4 linked regions of the Canis lupus familiaris genome follow. The protein of the gene in region 1 interacts with the protein of each later gene in a biochemical or structural test. Links are inferred from orthologs where the notes say so. Each region holds a gene or a part of one and is shown in the gene's direction. Other genes may lie near its edges. The genes, in order: SMURF1, PLEKHO1, SMAD5 and AXIN1.

What was found.
Region 2: the proteins of SMURF1 (region 1) and PLEKHO1 form a complex in vitro, tested with the Homo sapiens proteins (4 studies listed by BioGRID and IntAct). The link is inferred for Canis lupus familiaris from reciprocal best matches to the Homo sapiens genes SMURF1 and PLEKHO1.
Region 3: of the proteins of SMURF1 (region 1) and SMAD5, one has a biochemical effect on the other in vitro, tested with the Homo sapiens proteins (3 studies listed by BioGRID, with this or other methods). The link is inferred for Canis lupus familiaris from reciprocal best matches to the Homo sapiens genes SMURF1 and SMAD5.
Region 4: of the proteins of SMURF1 (region 1) and AXIN1, one has a biochemical effect on the other in vitro, tested with the Homo sapiens proteins (2 studies listed by BioGRID, with this or other methods). The link is inferred for Canis lupus familiaris from reciprocal best matches to the Homo sapiens genes SMURF1 and AXIN1.

What each region holds. Positions count from the first base shown.
Region 1 is NC_049227.1:10,465,207-10,470,424, forward strand, and holds the start of SMURF1 (E3 ubiquitin-protein ligase SMURF1), read left to right. Parts: upstream 1-1,686; 5' UTR 1,687-1,923; coding exon 1,924-1,978; intron 1,979-2,462; exon of another isoform or gene 2,463-2,539; intron 2,540-5,218. UniProt on the Homo sapiens protein: E3 ubiquitin-protein ligase that acts as a negative regulator of BMP signaling pathway. Mediates ubiquitination and degradation of SMAD1 and SMAD5, 2 receptor-regulated SMADs specific for the BMP pathway.
Region 2 is NC_049238.1:60,057,782-60,063,031, forward strand, and holds the start of PLEKHO1 (pleckstrin homology domain-containing family O member 1), read left to right. Parts: upstream 1-1,675; 5' UTR 1,676-2,107; coding exon 2,108-2,134; intron 2,135-2,600; coding exon 2,601-2,747; intron 2,748-5,250. UniProt on the Homo sapiens protein: Plays a role in the regulation of the actin cytoskeleton through its interactions with actin capping protein (CP).
Region 3 is NC_049232.1:24,090,690-24,095,442, forward strand, and holds part of SMAD5 (mothers against decapentaplegic homolog 5), read left to right. Parts: intron 1-1,464; coding exon 1,465-1,686; intron 1,687-3,750; coding exon 3,751-4,007; intron 4,008-4,753. UniProt on the Homo sapiens protein: Transcriptional regulator that plays a role in various cellular processes including embryonic development, cell differentiation, angiogenesis and tissue homeostasis.
Region 4 is NC_049227.1:40,623,256-40,628,734, forward strand, and holds the start of AXIN1 (axin-1), read left to right. Parts: upstream 1-2,343; 5' UTR 2,344-2,492; intron 2,493-4,816; exon of another isoform or gene 4,817-4,873; intron 4,874-5,276; exon of another isoform or gene 5,277-5,479. UniProt on the Homo sapiens protein: Component of the beta-catenin destruction complex required for regulating CTNNB1 levels through phosphorylation and ubiquitination, and modulating Wnt-signaling.

The sequences.
Region 1 (5,218 bases):
TGGACCCTAGGGACTCACTCTTAGTGACAATTGCCTACAGAGTAACAGCTCGATTCTGGGTCTACTGCTCTGTTGCTTAAACATAGCTTGTATTCTTGGATACTTCACTAGAATTATTCAAAGTCTGAGCTTTAAGGGGCCAAAGAAATGGTCTGGCCCATTTTCTTTTTAAAGATACATTTATTTGAGGGAGAGAGAGAGAGATAGAGAGAGAGAGACCAGGGGAGGAGCAGAGGGAGAGACAGGATCTCAAGCAGGTTCCATGCCCAGTGTAGAGCCTGACACCAGGCTCGATCTCACAACCCTGAGGTCATGACCGGAGCCAAAAATCAAGATCCAGATGCCCAACTGAATGAGCCACCCAAGGGCATGTCTTTTGATTTGACTGAATGACTGAAGCTCAAGAGGCAGCAAGGCAGCTCTGAATCCAGTCTAGAGACACTCAGCTTCCACTGGGTTCAGCCTGAGGCGGGGCAAGGGGGTAAGGCATGTCTAGGGGCCCTAGAGGGATCTATTTAGAAGGTTGTGACCCCAGGAAAGTCTGACTGAAGCGGGTGGCTCAAGGGCTCGGAGCTTGGCTCCTTAAGATACAAACCAAATAAAGGCTTTCCAAGAATTAGGTAGTTGGTCAAAAACAACTTTGGTAAACAAGCCCAGCTTTTCTTCTTTAGTAACAGTTATTTCCTCTCCATTACAGGTTAACAAAGAGAGGAGTTTGTTTGCTGGAGAAAGCCTAATGAGCTCTTAGCTCTACCCTGCAACTCTGGGAGGAGGGAAAATGTTAGTTTTTAGTTCAACTCTGCAATCCTGGGAGGGATGTGTTAGCAGAAGGCGGGGAAACCAAGGCCGTAAAGCTGCCTTTGTTGGTTTGGATTGTATGCAGATTGGATCATAACAAACATCTACTCAACTTTATCCCTCTCTCCCATCTTGTTTACCTTGTCCATATATGGCACTTCCAGCGATTCTGGCAAGTGTAACGGGTCAACAGAGCGCACTACCTTGCACAGAACACACGTAGGGGACTTTTGTGTCTTTGAGAAGTCTCTCCATTGAAACTGCATTCTCTGAAAGCTCTACTCAAAAAAAAAAAAAAGAAAAAGTGGTACCTATTTGTGCAAGGTGCTTGGTGTGTCGTAACAGGCTACGGGTTCACGTAATCCTCCTTCCAATATCTATGTGGGGGGGGCGGGCGCCCCGGAGGCTGGAGAGACACCCGGAAAATCAATTCGGTCCGCATCTGCAAACCTGTTCCCTTGGACAATGTGGCGAAGACTGAGGGTGGCGGTTCGAGGGCCCACATGTGGCCCCGCACCCTAGCTTCGCCTTCCCCCGGCCTCCAGGGCGAGCTCCGCTCCCAGGCCCCGAGCTCCTTCGCCCGGCTCCCGGGGGGAGGACGTGGGCAGGCCCCGCCACTGGTTCCAGACCCCGCGCGCCCCTAGCCAGGCCTGCGACGTAGCCCCGCCCCGCCCCGGCGTGCTCTCGGGTGCGCGCACGCACGCAGGCGCGGGGGCGCACGGCGCGGGCACGCGCAGGGCCGGGCCGGCACGGCGGCGGGAGCGCGCGCGGCTCCGGGAGGCGGCGGCGGCGGCGGCGGAAGCGGCGAGGGCGGCGGGCGTCCGGCTCTGAGGAGGAGGAGGAGGAGGTGGTGGTGGCGGTGGCGGCGGCGGCGGAGGCAGCGGCGGCTCTGGACTGGGCTCGGCTGGGAGCGGGCGAGGGTCGGGGGCGCCGGGTCGAGCGCCGATCCCCCGGCTCGACCATCCTCCCGCCGCCCGGACGCCTGGGCCGCGGAGTTTGTGTCCCGGCTCGGACCCCGGCGCCCAGCCCGGAGCCGTAACCTTGAGGCGGCGGCGGCGGGGCCGGGCCGGGCCGGGCCGGGGGGCGGCGGCGCTGGATCCGCGGCTGCCCGATCGTTGGCGGGAGATGTCGAACCCCGGGACGCGCAGGAACGGCTCCAGCATTAAGATCCGTCTGACAGGTACGGCCGGCGGGAGGCCCACCCGCCTCCCCCCGCACACCCCACCGGCGCCCGCTGGCGCCCCGCACGGGCCCCCAGCAGCCCCGGAATTCCCCGCAGAGCGCCCCGGTGGAGTGGCCCTCCCCCACGCCGGCCGTTGTCCCAGGACCTCGTCACCCCCCTCGGCGAGTGCCCCTCGCTCCGCGCTCCCGGCCCCGCCCCCTCGCGGCTGCCGGCCCCGCCCCCTCGCTCCTCACCCCCCACCTTCCCCCCCCACCGCGGCCCTCCCGCTCCCCTCCTGCCCCCCCCACCTGCCCCGTCGCCTCCCTGCTCGCGGCCCCCACCCGGCCGCGGGCTCTCCCCTCTCGCCCCCCTCGTGGCCCCGCCCCCCGCCGCTCAGCCCCCTTCCTCCCCCTCGCTTTCCCCGCTCTCCCCTCACCTGCCTCCTCGCTCTCCCTCCCGGCCCCGCCCCTCGCTCTCGGCCCCGCCCCTCGCTTCTCCCCACCTCCCCATCCTCTCTGGCTCGGCGGCCTCTTCTCCGCGGTACCCGGCGCTTCGCCCCGCTACCCTCCCGGTTCTTACTCCCCCCGCCCCCACCTACCCCCCGTCCGGCTTCTCCCCTCCCGGCCCCGCCCCTTTATTCTCCTCGGCGGGGCTCGCTCCCTTTCCCCCTAGGCCCCGCCCCTGCTTATCTCGCAGCCCCGCCCCCTCGCTGGGTCTCGCCGCCTCCACCCTTTCCTTCAGCCTCGAATTCCTCAGTCCTGTGGTGTGGCGTGTCCCGGTCCTGTTCTCTTCACTTCCCCGCTGCTCCAGACCTCTTGAGTCTGGCCCACTTCCTCTGTGCCTCGGGCCAGGCCACTGTCGGCTGCCTGCCGTGCTGCCCCGGTACTTCCCCCATTGCACTTTCCCAGCACTGCCCCCCCATCCTAGAGCCCTGAGTGGGGCTGAGGGTCCCCCGCCCCCCACTGGAGGCTGTGGCAGCTGCACGAACGCCGGCTCCTCGATTCACTCTCACCGAGTCCTCAATGAAGTGCCCGCGTCTCCTCGGAGGCTCTGTAGTGCCACCTTCCAGGGTGAGCGCGAAGCTCGGCTGCGGCCGGCGACGCGGTGGTTCGGCCGCGGGTGGATGCGCCCCTCGCCGGCGGCCCCTTCCCCGGCCCTCGGGGCCACGGAGCTGCGGCCTCGCCTCCCCGTTCAGATTCACACCTTAGGCCGGATCGTAGGGCCGCAGACACGCGTCTGCCAGGGGACTTTCCGGACTCGAGTATTTCCAGCCCTGGAAGGGAAATACAAAGTTCAGGCTAGTTCCTGTCGGGGGGCTTTCCCTTGGATTTTTCTGTTGGATGGCCAGTCTGGTGAGGACCCCAGAGTCAGAGTTCGGTCGGATGCTTTCAGAGAGCAAATGAGAGTTTTGGACACTTTGTGGCAGATGCGTAGCCCTAATTTCGGTAAAATCCATGAAAATAACAATGGCGATCGTTTTCAAACGAAAGTTTCCTTTGAAAGTACGGAGCTGTTGCGTGACTCACATTTTTCTCAAGAAAAGTGTTGTAATTTTTTTTTTTTTTTTTTTTTTTTTTTGTAGAAAGATGTCAGATTAGGTTACAAGATAAGGCGGCCAGGTAATGATTTGGACCCAAATCCAGACCCTGGTTGTGTGAAGTAACAGCCATCTGTCCCAGGGATCTTTGCTTCTGGAGGAACATACTCTGTTCCAGGGCCAGGAGGAAATGCTTCTCACTATGTAGATACAGTATAAAGCATTGTTATTTTTATGGTTACATGAAAGACATGTTTTTGACTTTGTAATGCTTGTAAAACTTTAATTACTGACAACTTTAATTGGATTCTAATTTACAGTGTAATCTGTAATTGACATCAGATTGGTTTCATTTTTCTTGTTAAAAGCAGAAATAACTGATTTCATGAGTTTTGGTAGAAATGTGATTAATGTTTCAGAAGGAATAGGTTCTCATTACAATGTTTGTATCATATACACATTTATATATCAAACCAAGTTGGCAGGTCTGAGCCTTTCCCTTGAAAAAGGGAGGGCTTGGTTTGTCCTCCCAAATTATTTTTGGATTCAGAAATTTACATGCCAAAGATACAGAAATGCTTTGAAGAGTTTTGGATGGCATTTGATACTGAAGGATCAAGTGATGAGTGTTATTTCCAAAGCTCCCTTTCCCTTCATCCCTGTTGGTGTTAGTGATTGGGATGATGTGTGAGTGTGGTCATCCCTGCAACAGGATTTTTAGTGGTGATGGCAGATCCATGTCTGTTGTCTGTTGAATGTTAATTTATGTTGAGGTGCTGGAACCTCAGATGTTTTGGTGTAGAGTAGGTTTTGGCATCATCTTTAAGGTTGTCCAGGGCAGTTTGAAAATCTCTTCTTTTCTGGCATATTGGGTAGCCATCTTTCAAAAGTTGTATACTCTTGTTACAAGATTTAGAGTTTAATTCTATGCGTGATATTTGAAAAAATTTTTTTTTTAAAAAACAAGGGGCATTCTAACCAGTAATTAATATCACACAGAGTATAATTCCAGGCAACATCTGAAGACACTGGAGTATAAAACAGCCTTTAAAATTTGAGGTCCACAGTTGTATTTGGTGGTGAGGAGAGCATTGGATTTAAAATTAAGAGACGTGATTTTGGGCAAATCTCCCGTAAACTGCATGATATGGAACAAATTAGGTAACCTTGCTGGGCCTCCGTTTCTTCATATAAGATGAGATTTCAACTTTATTGTAACAACCTTTGATTCTCTTTCTCATTTTGGGTACCTACTTATTCCACATTATGCTGGGTACTAATGCTGTCTGTTATTAAGTCTCAATGCTGATATTCAGAGATTTCTGTTAAAACACAGCACTTGTGTTTGATGTATGCGAAGCCTTAATTTTGTGGTGTTGATTATGCTATAGCTTTTTCTCTATGGAACCCTTTTGGTTTTTGGAAATGATTGGGTGGTATGTGGAGCTGCTTTGGAGGCCTGGCCTCTGCAGTAAAAGAATATTTGAGTCTTTATAATTCAAAGAACTTAACTTTAATGGATGTCTTTGTGGTATTTTAACAGGAAAATAGTTTTTAAACAGGTCCAGTTAGATTTGGGGCATAATTCGTGCAAAATCAAGTTTTCTTAAAGAACATTATTTTGCAGACATTTAGAGTTCACTGGCAAATCAAACACTTTGGAAACATTTTTTATTTTAAATTCAAGCCGGGTTTGCAAAAACTTTGTTCTTATGTGGTAT
Region 2 (5,250 bases), on another chromosome or scaffold:
TCTAAGCCATTTAGCCAGTAACTTGCTGTGTAAACTTGGACAAGTCAATTGATTTGCCATGCAGTTTACTCATTTTCCAAGTGGGAATAATATTATATACACCTCACAAGGTGGCACTAAAGATTTCAAGAAATGATATACAAGAGCATTTTGAAAGGATAAATTTCTATAATAGGGGAATTAATTACTATAGTAAATGAAAAGAGGTTAAAAGGAGTATTGTTGAATTAGGAAGAAAGGGGGTGTCTGGGAAAGGAGAAAAGCCCCTCTGCCATTTGACAGATGCCAGAAAAAGCCAAGGCCACCCCATTCCTGAAACCACAAAGTTGGGGAATACTCTATCTTGAGACGTCTCCAGAAAAAAGAGTTCTCTTTTCCTGCTCGTGTGCCAGGAATTTGTATTCATTTTGTGGCTATTGCATGTCTATCATATGCCAGGCAATGTGTTTGTTAGCTTATTACTGTTCAATAATTAGCACTGGAAGGTAATACTTGTGTATTTTCATAGGACTTTCACAGGTCATCTCCTGTATTCCGCTAACCTTCCTCGTTGATGGAATCGGCAGTTCATCCCTCACCGTTTAATATGTATGTGGAGGAACAGAGTCCTAAAGAAATTCAGTGACTTGGGGCACCTTGAGTGGCTCAGTCTGTTAAGTGCCCACCTGGACTCTGGGTTTCATCTCAGGTCATGATGCCATGGTCGTAAGATGGAGCCCCACCTGGGCTCTACATTCAGTGTAGAGTCTGCTTTCCCTCTCCCTCTGCTCCTCCCTCTCTCAAATAAATAATATCTAGAAAAGAGAGAGAGAAAGAAAAAGAAATTCAGTGACTTGACCAAAAGCCACAAAGTAGTGATGATGAAACTATTCCCCCAATCTGGGTTTCCTGACTCCCCTCTTCCCGTTAAATATGTACTGGGGAAAAAATGAAGTCACTAAAATGTTGGTCTGCAGGCTGTGAGGCGGATCTGGTGTAGGAGGCATCAGCAGAGGTTCCTCGGGTCAGGGCAACCCCCAGCCATTGTCCCCTTCCCTTCATTGGACTCGAATCAGATGTTTCCATGGATCGGATGTTTCCACCTCCATGCAGCAGGAAGAGACACGCAGGTAAGAGGAAGTTTAAGCCTCACCTGAAGCTTCTCTTTAAAGCCACATGGTCCTCTGGACAAGGCCTCTGGCGACAGAGAAATCCACTCCTGCCAGTACTTACCGTGTGTGTCTGTTTATCTCTCAGCCATCCTGAGTCTCACTTTTCTCTGTGCAATGGAGAGAGCCACTACCCACCTCGTACTTAGGAGGCTCCAAGAAGGCCCGAGGCTTTGTAAATGGGTAGAAACGTGTATTGCCATCAACTCCACGTCCCCCGCGACCCCCTGCACACACCTAAAACTTTTCCCCAACACGACCCACCCAGGCCACTGTCCCTACCACCCGGGGCGTGTGCGCCCCAGATGCCCCCTGTCGGTGAGGCGGGCGCCCTCCCACCTCCCGCTCTTGTTTGCTTGGGAGGGAGCCGGTCTCGATCTAGGGGATCTCGGTCTTCCGCAATCTCTCCCCGCCGTCCGCTCCCGCCGCCTCCGCCGGCCGTCTGGGTCTCGGGCTCCGCCCCCGGCTCCGGCCGCAGGTGCGAGCGCCGGCCCCGCGCCCCCGCCCCCGCCCCCGCCCCCGCCCGGGGGCCGCTCTCCGGCGGGCGTTAGGTCTGTCTCCCTCACCCTCCTCCAGTCGGAGACAAAGGAGGGGGGTGGGGGAGCGCACCGTCTCCGGCTCCGCGATTCGCCCTTTATTCTGAACTCGCAACGTCAGCGGGCCGCGGATGGAGGCGCGGGGCGCGGGCCGGGAGGCGGCGGCGGGGGCGCGCGGGGGCCCGGGCCGCGTGGGCGCCGGCATGGAGGGCGCCGGGGGGCGGGGGGCGGGCGTGCGTGCGAGTGCGAGTGCGAGTGCGAGTGCGAGTGCGAGTGCGAGTGCGAGTGAGGCCGGCCTCTAGTGTAACCGGAGCTACAAAGAAGGGGAGAGTCCGGGCGAGGGAGGGCGGAGCGGCGGCGGCGGCGGCGGCGGGGGCAGCTCCGCGGGCCGGGCCCCTTCCCCGCGCCGCGCCTCCGGGAACGATGAAGAAGAACCATCCCGCCAAGAGGGTGAGTGTGCCCGCCGCGCCCCGGACCCCGGGCGGCCCCTCGAGCTGCTGTGCGCCGCCTCGGGCCGGGGGCTCGCACTTGGCTGACTTTGCTGCTCCCCCCGGCCCCGGCCCGGCCCCGGCGGGAGACAATGAGGAATCCAGCGAGCTGCCTCGGATGCCGGCGCCGCGGGACCGGGGCTGCGGGCGGGGCGGGGGCGGGGGCGGGGGCGGGCGGGCGAGGCCCCCGCGCCCGGGCCGCGGCCGGGACCCGTCGGTCGCGAGGAGGGCGAGGCCGGCGGGGCAGGGGGCCCGGAGTGGCAACCTTCGGGGGCGCGGGCAGCGGACGCCGGGGCGCCGGCAGCGCAGCTCGGGGGGACGGTCGCGGGGACCGCGGGGACCGGGCCGCCGAGGGGGGTCGTGAGGGCCGGCACGACCCGGGCGGATCGCGGCAGCCGCTGACCGGCCTGTGCTGTCGCCCGGGGCAGGGGCTTCAGGATGGCAGCCACCCGTGCGCACCGCCGGAGAAGGTCGGCTGGGTCCGGAAATTCTGCGGGAAGGGGATTTTCAGGGAGATTTGGAAAAACCGTTATGTGGTGCTGAAGGGGGACCAGCTGTACATCTCGGAGAAGGAGGTAGGTGCCCTCCGCCTCCCGCCCCTGGCTCCTCCTGTTCCCGTGCTGTCCCTCCACAGGGGACCTGCCTGCCTCCGCGTCCCCCTGCCCTCGCCCCTCCCCCACTTTGTGCAGAAGCAAGTTCAGCAGTTCAGCTGGTCTCTACCCCTGTCGCATCTGCAGAGAAAGGTCACCCTTTATCCAGAAAACCCGAGTCAGAATTCCAAGTTGAGTGTCCATCTTATTTAATGATTTTTCTCGGCCAACACCTTTCTGACAAGGATGATAACCCCCCTCCCAGGATGTCCCAAAAGTTCTAAGTCCCCTGCTGCCCCCTACTCTATCCTGGCAAGCTAGCTGGAGGTAGGATTTTTTTTTTCTTTGCCAGAGCTGCTGAAAAACTCTATGGGGTTTCTTCTCCACCTCTTCCCGCTCCCCTACCCCAAGCCAGCTAACCTCTTTCCTGTCTCTTAGCCGGGGGCAGGCGCAGGCCATATTGCAAGTACAGCTGCCCCAATCACAGAAAACACATACACAGCCCTGGGTCAGTCTCCTATGGCCTCGGGCAGAGTGTCTGTGAGTGGCAGTTATTTCTGTTGAAGCCAATGATCCTAACCAGTCTGCTTCCCACTCCGTTAAAAGGAGGAGGAGGAGAAGCAAGGAACTCATTCACCACCCTCTTCATAACTTCTCCCATTTGTATCAGAAAGGAGACAAATGGAGTCACCAACCCCTTATCTGTCTCTGGGTAATTAAAATGAAAACCACAGTCTACATTCAGAACCTGAGCCCGGATCGTTGAATCCACACTCTTCTCCCTTTTCTCTCTTATTTCTGGAGATCGGTTAACACTTGAGACACTGACATTGGCCTCCATGAGGTGAAAGACATTCAGTCCCTCCTTCTGAGATGCTGTCAACACTAGCTTGGAGACTGTCCTGTGCTCCCCGGGTGGCACGGCCCCTCCTGCCCCGTGTTCCCTCACCCCAGAGCTAACTGGGAAGTCCACCCTGAGCTCTAACCTCTTCTGCTTTCTGCAGTAGACTATATTGAGGTAAATAAATCCTTTTATGGTATTGAAACAGACACAGACACAGCCCTAGAGAAAGTAATCGTCTCAACAGAACATGTAGCTAGGCAAGTAGGGAAGAACTAAGCCATGCCAGGGCCAGAGCAATCCCTCTTCGGGGTGTTTCGACCTGACTGTTGACGCCAGGCGGGAACTTGGTGATGGTAGGTGGTGAGAGAAGCCTTTGATAGGATTCATTTTTAAGGGCTACCTCTACCCAACCCCAAATCCCGTAGAAGGTTTTCCAATTTTCTGGCTTTCCAATTTAATAATAATAATAATAATAATAATAATAACAACAACAACAAGCAAGTGTCAAAGTGTATCTCCTGTCTTCCCCGAACTTCATAATGGCAGCAAACTCTGGTGAGCAATTGGAGAGAACTTCCCATATGTCAACAGTGAAAGGGTAGAAGGAACAAGAGATCTTTTCTCATTTGTATTTGTCCAGAGAACAGAGTCTGGAGCAAAAGTGTGCTTGCTCCTTGTTTGTGGAGGAAAGGGTACAGAGACTGGGGGAAGGATGAATGACCTCAGCCTCCGAGGCCTGGTGTCCTATGAGTCAGGAGCATCTGACCAGTCATGGGGCCCGCTGCCCCCTGCCGAGAGGGGTGCAGGAGCAGTGGGCACAAGCCTACCCTTACTCCTCTTCTTTGGAGCCCGTCCCCCTGCTCAGGCAGCCCTGGACTAAGGATGAAGCTACTGGAGGACTCTATGCTCTATTCTCTTCGCTTCCCACAAGCTCTAGAGCTAACAGATTCAAGATTTTTTTTAATTTAATTTAATTTTTTTTAAGTTTTTATTTATTTATTCATGAGAGATGCAGGCAAAGGGAGAAGCAGGCTCCCCACAGGGAGCCCAATGCAGGACTCGATCCCAGGACCCAGGGATCACACCCTGAGCTGAAGGCAAATGCTCAACCACTGAGCCGCCCAGGCGTCCCTCAGGATATTTTTTTAATGCAAAGTATGATGTTTGTAATTTATGTAGTAATGCAAGAACATCCCTAACCCATGGGACGCCTGGATGGCTCAGCAGTTGAGCATCTGCCTTTGGCTCAGGGCGTGATCCTGGGGTCCCAGGATCGAGTCCTACATCAGGCTCCCTATGGGGAGCCTGCTTCTCCCTCTGCCTGTGTCTCTGCCTCTCTCTGTGTGTCTCTTATGAATAAACAAATAAAATCTTTAAAAAAAAAGAATATTTGTAACCCTCTCCCCTCGAATTTTCTTTCTTTGTTGCTTTTCCATATAAAGCCAGGCTCTCCCACCCATCAAAGAAATCCTCCTGTATTTTTTGTTATTAATCATTTTCCTCATTCTCAAAGGGTACCTTATGATCATGAGGTTGATGTGTTGGAACAGAAACTTGATCTTCTGGAGATCTCCTGGTAGAGGAAATTGGGCATCTTTCTTGGCAAGGGAAAAGCCCTGTCTGTGGGCCAGCAGAAGGGTGGGG
Region 3 (4,753 bases), on another chromosome or scaffold:
TGGATGTGAGAAGATATTTGTAAATGTTATATCTGATAAAGGATAATATCCAAAATAAAAAAGAACTCACATAACTCAACACCAAAAAAAAAAAAAAAAAAAAAAAAAAAAAAACCCAAACCAAACAGTTAAATTAGAAGAATGAGCAGAGAACCTGAATAGACATATTTCCAAAGAAGACATACAGATAGTAAACAGACACATGAAAAAATACTCAACATTACTAATCATCAGGAAAATGCAAATCAAATCACAGTGAGATACCACCTCACATCAGTCTGAATGGCTAGTATTGAAAAGACAAATAACAAGCGTTGACAAGGATATGGAGAAAAGAGAATCCTTGTGTACTGGTTGTGGGAGTGTATATTGGTGCAGCCACTGTAGAAAACAGTGTGCAGATTCCTCAGAAAATTAAAAATAGAAATACCATATTATCCAGTAATTCCATTACTGGGTATTTACCTAAAGAAAGTGAAAACACTATTTTTTTTAAACACTAATTTGAAAAGATACATGTGTGTTTATTGTAGCATTATTTACAGTAGTCGAGATATGGGAGCAATGTCAGTGTCCATCAATAGATAAATGGATAAAGGAGATATATACGCAATATTCCTCAACCATAAAGATGAGATCTTTCCATTTTGCAACAAGATGAATGGACCAAGAAGATGTTATGCTAAGTGAAATAAATCAGACAGAGAAATACAAATACCATATGATTTCATACCTATGTGGAATCCAAAAAACACAGCAAATAAACAAATAAAAAAACCGGAAACAGACTCATAAATGCAGACAACAAACTGGTGGTTGCCAGAGGAGGGTGGTGTATAAAACAGGAAAAGAGGATTAAAGGGTACAGAATTCCAATTATAAAATAAGTTACGGAGGTGAGAAGTATAGTATAGGGGAAAAAAGTATAGTATAGGGAATAATAATAATATTGTTACAGTGTTATATGGTGGCAAATGGTTATTAGACTTACCATTGTGAGCAGTGCATAATGTATAGGAGTATCTGATCACTACCTTGTACACCTGAAACTATTATGGTATTATATGTCAACTAAAATAATAAAAATTTAAAAGTAAAATAAATGTAATATTGCCTGTCTTTATATTTGCATTTAGAAAAGTTTTAAAATCATATTCATGGCCATTTCTTTTTTTAAGTACAGACTCCAAGCCAGGGAGGACAGTGAGAGACTTAAGTGAAATATCTGAAAATATTTTTCATTGAGTGCTTGGATTGGCTTAAAGGGAAACACATAAAGAATCAGGGGTTTCTAATTTATTCATTAATCGTTTTTTTATCTGGTTTGTAAGGGAAACACATAAAGAATCAGGGGTTTCTAATTTACTCAATCGTTTTTTTATCTGGTTTGTAAGGGAAACACATAAAGAATCAGGGGTTTCTAATTTACTCATTAATCGTTTTTTAAATCTGGTTTGTTTACAGACGTTCAGCCTGTTGCCTATGAAGAGCCCAAACATTGGTGTTCAATTGTCTACTATGAATTAAACAATCGTGTTGGGGAGGCTTTTCATGCATCTTCTACTAGTGTGTTAGTAGATGGATTCACAGACCCTTCAAATAATAAAAGTAGATTCTGCTTGGGGTTGTTGTCAAATGTTAATCGTAATTCAACAATTGAGAACACTAGACGACATATTGGAAAAGGTAATTTTGTCATTGCCCTGCGTTCAGTTGAAATCAGTCATTTGCTGTTCTTGCTCTGTACCGTGCGCTGTATAAGGCACTAGAGTGTAATGTGAGCCTGAAGCATGGGCTCTGCTCTCAAGGTGCAGATACCATAGAATGTATTAAGTCAAGACCTCATCAGTCCTCTTTTCCTTATCCTGCTTTGTTTTTCTTTGTTTGGGATCTGAAATCATACGATTTCTTTATTTATTTTTTGAGTGCCTTCTTGACTGGAATACAAGCTTTACAGAAATTTGCCTTGTTCATAGCATTATTTTCAGCAGCTAGAATAGTTCCTGGCTCACAGTAAGTACACAACAAATATTTGTGGAATATATGATTACTGGCATAGGATTAGAATTTTTTAATTATGGTTTTTTGAGAAGAGGTGCCTTGTAAGAACTTCTGTTATGTGGGGAGGAGCTGGGTTATAGGTGGGAAATCCAGTTTGAATGACAAGTCTCTCCACCACTCCTCCTGCCTTTTAAATTCAGGTAACCAGGTTTTATTTATGTTTCATCCAGCAAGACAGTTGCCACAATAAACAAGTAACTTTTCCCACCTCAATGAAATATCAGAGGCTCATGCAAGTGGTCAGAAAGGAAACCTTTCCCAGGTAGAGTGTATTGCCTGTCTTGTAAGTTTAGTTTTTGCCACTCGCTCTGTTCTACTTCTTTCACTTGAGAAAGTCTTAGTCCAAGTTAGAACAAAAGGTCCATAATTATAATTGTCATGTGATTTCTTATAGAAGAGATTCAGCAAAATACTATGGCCAAAAATAAGTTGAAAGGAAGTTTCTGTTCTTTTTTTGACTCTGTTGCCAACTTGGCATTGATTTTTTTTTTTTTTTTTTTTTTTTTTTTGGTGAAATGCCTCACTTCTATGTATTGATTTTCCCACTACGTTAGAATGATTTAAGAGAAATCTACCAGGTGAATTCTAAAATTCTAGAATTTGTTTTCCCATTTTTCCCGGTATCTAATTCTAGGATCCCTTCCTCCATGGGTCATTTTATTTGCTTAGAAACAACAACATACAGTTGTTGGTTTTTTTAAAGATTTTATTTATTTACGAGAGACACAGAGAGAGGCAGAGACCTAGACAGGGAGAAGCAGGCTCTGTGCTGGAAGCCCAATAATAGGACTCAATACCGGAACCCCAGGATCATGCCTTGAACCAAAGGCAGAAGCTCAACTGCTGAGCCACCCAGGTGTCCCAAAACAGTTTTTTGTATCATAGCCTAATACAAGTCTGTGATTCACACGTGTATGAGGTATGTGTATACAAGGATGGCCTTTTTAACACTCTTTGTGGAAGTAAAAAGTTGGAAATAACTTTAGCTATAGAAGTTGAAGTTTTAATATTGAAACTTCACATATTATTTACATATATATATATTTTTAAATACCAAAACCATTCTTTTCAAGGGAAGTAAAATAAATCTGCCGTTTAAAGTCTCTTCTTAAAAAAAATTAAAGTCTCTTCCTGTGACCTGCAATTACATATGTGACTTAGGGCCAAATTTTTAATGCTGCTGTACTCTCCATTAGTTAAAAGAGTGCAAAACACTTTGCCAATTGACTCTGTGATAAATTAACTTAGCACCAAGCGTTCCTTTGAAAGGACTCATCATTTGCGCTTTCTTTGTCTTTTTGCCTTTGCTTTTGCTCCTAGAGATAATAAATGATTGTTGGCAAAGAGAAAAGAACCAAAAAGAAAAGAAAAGAAAAGAACCTAAGAACTGATAAACCTAATAAGCTGCCAACCTTAAGCTTAATTTAAGTCTCAGTTATTTGAGGACCACTGTAGATGGAGGCCATTAACCTCTTGATTATCTTCGGCAGTCTAAGGCCCTCTAGTGGTAGCTTCATATCTACAGACTGTTGGGCCTTTGCTATAGGTTAGTGGGTGTTCTTGGTTGCACCTTCTACAACCTCTTTGGTTTCATTGTATAATGAAACATTTTTTTTTTATTAAAAAAATTTATGATTTTTATTATTTCACCTTTATTAAGGTGAGTCTTGTAATGCTTGTTTTTTTAAGGTGTTCATCTGTACTATGTTGGTGGAGAGGTGTATGCAGAGTGCCTCAGTGACAGCAGCATATTTGTTCAGAGTAGGAACTGCAACTTTCATCATGGCTTTCATCCTACCACGGTCTGTAAGATTCCCAGCAGTTGCAGCCTCAAAATTTTTAACAACCAAGAGTTTGCTCAGCTTCTGGCTCAGTCTGTCAACCATGGGTTTGAGGCAGTGTATGAGCTCACCAAAATGTGTACCATCCGAATGAGTTTTGTCAAGGTGAGTGGGTTATAACCTGTAGCTTAATTTGAGTCACTGTAAATTTGCATATTTCTGTAGGTTATGATTTTAAAATGTCTTCCTGAAATGAAAATCGGTATTTACTTTTGACCTGACTTAATAGGTTTTTAAATGACATTCTTGAATTTATAGCTTCAAAGCCACACAATAGGTCGAAGTTTTAATTTTATAATCCAGATGTTATAAAACACACGATACTGATTTTGATATTGAATAGGGGCTGAGTTTATAAAGAGCTTCAGTTAAAGACTGAATTGCTAGAAAGCATTTAACACTAAAATTGCTTTTGAAGTTCCTTAGCCTCAGCAGTTTCAATTATTATTAGATCCCACTGGAGTGACTTAAAAAATTCTTTAGGAGACTAAAATTATCTTCCTTGCACTTAACCTCTGTTATTAAGGATTTGCAAAGTTGAAAGAACTTTTCAAATTTATCATTTGCTCTTGGGCTTATTTTACTGGCCTTCCAAGGGTGATGGCTTATGAGTAAAATTAGGAAAGAATTTTAGTGATGCATAAAAGCATCCTGTACTCTATCCAATTGGTCCTTAAGGATTTAGCCAAAGAAAACCAACTGTGAAATGCTCTAAGCGGGATTTTTCTTTTTGGTATTCAGACCCACAGTTCAGTGTTGCCTTGCTGCTTTGCTGTAAGTCTGTTCTGTGCATCAGTTTATTAGCCCCAAAGGCATTCCTCCTCCATAGAAACATAACTTTTTTTTTTTTT
Region 4 (5,479 bases), about 30 Mb from region 1:
GCTCCCAAGGCGGCAGGCTGCTCTCCCCCTTCCCCCAGGCGCCTGTGGCTGGCGGGGTCACGCAGGCCTCAGTGCAGTACTGTCCTCCTGTCCTTGTGTCGTGAGGACATGGCCCTGGCGGCAGATCTCTCTGGAGGCGCACTATGGGAAGATGACCCGCGGTGCTCCTTGGCCTGGAGCGACGGGATCCCCGGAGGACCCTGAGGGTGAAGCCCAAGTTGGGGCGGGTGTGGAGGGTACCCTCGGACTACTCGCCGGCTGCTGTGCCCCTGCTTCCCTGTCGGCCCTGAGCCCTGGCCCTTGACCCGTGGGGGCTGTGTCAGGTCTGCTGGGTGAGTCGTCCAGACAGGGGACGTGGGAACGAACGCAGCATCACCAGCCGGGCCTGGCAGGAGCCGAGTGCTGCAGTCCCCTACCTCTGCTGTGGGGCCTCCTAGCCTTGTTCAGGGGAGCCTGTGGCGGCTCTGAGGAGCAGGGACAGCTGGGCTGGGATGACATAGAGCAGTATGAGAAGGTGACAGTCACCCAGGTACCCCCAACAGCGAGCTGATGCCAGAGCTGGCTCGTTAGACACAGGGCCCTGACCTTACGCCCCGGCTGGCCCAGCCTGGCTTTTGGGGGCGAGATCACCTCTGGGGTGTCTGCCCCAGGCAGCTGCAGCTGAAGACGCCAAAGAGCACTACCGATGCAAAGTGCCAGCCTGGATGACACAGCCGCCCCCAGGGCAAGCGGACGGGGATCCCGACAGAGCGGGGACAGGCAGGGGCCTGCCCTGACATGCGGTCCCCCAGGCTGGAGTGTCCATGGGCTGTGCTGGGCACCTTCTCACTGGTCCCGGGACAGTCGGAGCAGCACCATTGTGCCTGGCGTGGGCAGCCGCGTCCTGTCCCAAGGGCCCAGGCATCCAGCTCGCTCCCACAGGGGCCCGCGGGGTGGTGCCCGCTGCATTTTCTCGGGCACAGAGCCTCTTCCTGAATGCATAAAGGAAGTGCTGCAAGCACCCCCGAGTCTGCGCTCCGACAATAACCTATTAGTGCCCTGGAATATGGATGGTCAGCGTTCCCACCCTACAGGCACGAGCTCTGCACCCACAACAGCGGGCACCGAGCACGGGCCGCCTTGGTGCTCGGGCTCATGATCTTGGTGTGACGGCTGTGCATCCATCTGGGGTTTGCCGTGGGGACACAGGCGACACTGGCCCTCCCCCCAGAGCTCAGAACTGAGAGAGGAAAGACACCCAGGATGAAGGGTGGAGCCCGGGCGGCTGGAGCTGTGCCTCCAAGGGGGAGTCCTCACCACCCCCGCTACAACCGTCCACAGCCAGATGAGCCCGCGCCCCCCCCTCCTGCCGGGGCCTCGCCTGCCCTCCCACCGCCACCCCCCACACCTGTTGGGGCAGACCCAGAAGGGGCTAGGCCTGAGACCCCTCCCTCCCTCCAGAGGCCCAAATCCCATGGTCCCTCCTGCACTCCCCTCCCAGGAAGACAATGGGGATGTGCCCCCAGTGTCCCATGTCTGCAGCCTGTTCTCTGCTGCTGGCTTTCATCATCACACATCGGGCCATGCTGGACGCGCCTCAATATACTTGGTGCATCTTAGATGATTTCTTTTTTTTTTTTTTTTCGGATGATTTCTTTGAATCATTTTTTATGAGTGGTGTTCCTCAGCCAAGTGGATGAACACGTGTAAGGCTTCATTTTTTTTTTTTTTAAGATTTTATTTATTTATTCATGAGAGAGAGAGAGAGAAAGAGGCAGAGGCACAGGCAGAGGGAGAAGCAGGCTCCATGCAGGGAACCTGACATAGGACTCAATCCTGGGTCTCCAGGATCACGCCCTGGGCTGAAGGTGGCACTAAACCGCTGAGCCACCCGGGCTGCCCCACATGTAAGGCTTCAAAGCTCGCTTTATTTCTAAGTATTCATTTTATGTCTACGTTGAAGAAAATTATTTCATTTTTGCTTTTAAGTTTTTCATGTAGTTCCTGGAAAGCCGGAACAAATGTCCTCTACGGTTAATCCAATCAAAGCTTCTAGTGGCAAACCCTGGCACCCCCTTCACTGGGGGTGTGTGTGTGAAAAGAGGGTGCTCCATCAAGGAACTCACCTGTTCTGACATGAGGCTCCTGGGGCTCTTTGGTGTCACGTCTGGGTGGCTGACACAGTCCCTGCCAGGTCGCCCCTGCAGCACCGCAGGCCCGGTCTGGCCTTCCCTGGGCTCCCTCCTCTGGTCCACGGCTGCTCTCACCCTGCTCAATCGCCCCTCTGTGCCCACAGTTCTAATCTGCGGTAGCTGGGCTGCTGCATTTCCTCCAGGCCTTCTGACTCCCTTCCTGTCCCTGCAGGGTGGGAGCCCCAAGGAGCCAGGGGCCCGAGGGTCCTGTTCTGGTCCTGGGGCCTGGGGACACCTGCCGCCATGGGCCAGGAGGAGGATGGACGTGGACACAACCCTGGGAGCCTGGCCCGGCCACAGCAGCAGCTCTGCAGAACCAAGGCAAGCACTGGGGACCCGTGTCTGGGAGCGGGGAGGCAACATGAGGGCCAGTGTCTGGGAGCTCTTGCTGTTTGTCCAGCCCACCCAGGACTCCCATACCCCACAGAGACCCCGCTGTGCCCAGAAGGCCACCCACTGTGTCTCGTGGTCTCTAAGACTCCTAGGCTGAACGGAGTGGGGGAGGGGCTGCACTGGGGAGCCTGGGACTGTCCCAGCTGGATGCTGGTGAGAGTGACCCCCACTGTGATCACCCTAGTGGGGCCAGTGTGGGCTTGGTCGCATAGCCCCTCATCTATAGCCCCGACTGCCCCTGGGTGGTCTGGGCCTTCGGTAGGCTGGGGATGCGTCCCTGGTTGTCCTCATCCCTCACTGCCTCCCTTTCCTATGACCCCCTGGGAGAGATGCTGTGCTGAGACTTGAGGCAGGCTGGTGTGTCCCTACACCTGCACACCCCAGACAGGCACCACCCGTGGACATCTGGGTGGGAGGCTGGCTGTGGCCCGTGGAGCCCCAAGCCAGGACTTGTGCACTGGTATGGAGCCTGAAAGATGAGGACGCGCCGGGAGGGCAAACAGGGTCCAGGAGAAGATGTGGTGGCCTGTTGGACGGGGCACGGCCCTGCCCTGGAGACTGCGGGGAGCATCTCTTCAGGTGCAGGCCTCGTGGCTCTGTGGGGCACAGGCCCTAGGTGGTCACGGGGGTGCCAGAAGCAATTCCTGAGGGGCAGTGGTAACCTTTCAGTGCCACATCCTTCCCTTAGGGAAGGGCCCGGGGCGGGTAGACAAGGAGCTGGCCGGCTGTGCTTGCAGGTCGGGCAACAGCTGCTATGGCGACGGTGAAGGGCAGAGGTGGTGGTGCAGGAAGCCCTGCTCCCCAGGCTGCCGCGCCAGTATGACCTAGGGACAGCGTAGGAAGGAAAGCCAGGCGCTCGGCGGCCGGGCAGGGCGGCTCCGCAGCACCCGCACGGGCTCCCGCCACACCGCCGCTCGCCGCCCAGGCCCACCCAGACGCCCGCACCTGGGACCTGGCCCCGCCCACCAGGCGGCCCCGCCCCCTCCCCGCGCCCGCCGCTGCCCCGGGCCCCGCCTCCGCGCCGTCCGTCCCTGCAAGTGCTTGGGCCCGGGGCTCTAGGCCCCGCCCCCGCCCCGGGCTACGTCCCCGTCCTTCTCCCGCCCCCACGTTCCGGCTCCGCCCTACGCTCTCCGCTGCGCCCTGTGTTCGCGGTCCCTCCCCGACGCTCTGGGCCCCGCCTCCTGCTCCCGGATCCCCTCCTCAAGGCTGCCCCGCCCGGTGCTCCGGCCCCGCCCAAGTCCCTGCCCCAAGCCTTCGCCCCGCCCCCCGCTCCGGCTGGTGCGTCCCGTGCCAGTCCCGCCCCACGTATCCGAAACGCTCGCGTCCTGGCCCCGCCCCGAGCCTTTGGCCCCGCCCTACGCTCCGGGCGACCTCACTTCCGGTCTGGATCACGCTTCGGGGCCCCGCCCCCCGCTCCGGGCCCCGCCCCCCGCTCTCGGCCACGCCCCCGCGCTCCGCCCCACATATCGGCCCCGCCCCCCACGCTCGGGGGCCCCGCCCCACGCTCTTGGCCCCACCCCCCACTCTCGGCCTCGCCTCACGCTCTCGGCCTCGCCCCCACTCTCCGGGTCCCGCCCCACATCCTCGGCCCCGCCCCCCGCTCCGGGCCCCGCCCCACGCTCTCGGCCTCTCCCACACGCTCCGGTTCCCGCCCCACGTTCTCGGCCCCGCCCCCACACCCCGGGCCCCGCCCCACGTTCTCGGCCTAGCCCCTACTCCCCAGGCCCCGCCCCACGTCCTCGGCCCCGCCCCCACGCTCCGGGGGCCCCCCCCACGTTCTCGGCCACGCTCCGGGCCCGCCCCCGAGCTCCGGGCTCCGCCCTACGTTCTCGGCCCCCCCCACGTTCTCGGCCCCGCTCCGGGCCCCGCCCCCGCGCTCCGGGCCCCGCCCCACGTCCTCGGCCTCGCCCCCACGCTCCGGGGCCCCGCCCCGCGCTCCGGCCCCGCCCCCGCACTTCCGGGCGGCGCCGGCGGGGGCGCTCCGGCCTGGGCTTCGGCGCTCTGGGCTCGGGCTCCCCGCTCGGGGAAGCGATCGCGGCAGCCGCCGCCGCCGCCGCAGGACCGGCCGGAGTCGGTCCGGAGCCGCGTCTCCCGGTGCAGGCGGGTGAGAGCGGGCGGCCGGCCTCGGCGGCGCCCCCGCGGCCTGCCCCGCGCCCGCCTCCGGGCCGCCGCGCCGCCGCTGCGATGGGGGCCGCCCGGGGCCGCGCCCCCGCCCCGTCCCGCCCGCCGCGCCGCCGCTGAGCGCATGGGCCGCGCCGCGCCGCTCCCGGAGCCGGGCCGGGGCGCCGCCGCCGCCGCCGCCGCCGCGGGTGAGTCGTGCGGGCCGGGCGCGGGCCTGTGGGCCGCCCATTGTAGGCCGCGTAGGCCGGGCGGGCCGGGACCCGGAAGAGGGGCCGGTGGGTGCGGGCTCGGGGCGTGCGGGGCGGCGGCGGGGACGCGCTGCGAGGGCCGGGGCCGGGGCGGGAGCGGTGCGCGGGGGGCGGTGCGCGGGGTCCCGGGGGGTGGGCGTGAGCGGGGCCGCCCGCGGGCCCGGCCGGGATGCGCGTGTGCGCGGGCGCAGGTCCTGGGGCGGCCCCGTGACTCCGGCCCCGCGCGGGGCTCCGAGGCCCGAACCCCGAACCCCGGGCACCGGCTCCGCTCCCCCGAAGCCCCTAGCGCTTCCCCGCAGCTTGGAGCTCGGTGCCCGCGGAGCAGAGCCGCCCGGCCAGGCGGGGAAACTTTCTGCTTAGCGCTGAGGACAGAGGGGGAGCCCCAGTTCCCGGAGGGCCTCCCCGCGCAGGTCTGGGGTGGTTTATGAGGAGCCCCTGCCGCGCATCCCTGCCCCTCCGTTTTGCCCCCGTGCTCACCCTGCTTCTGCACGGAAGCTCTCCGGACACTTGCTTCGAGGCCCTTCTTTGGAGAACACACATGGTCTG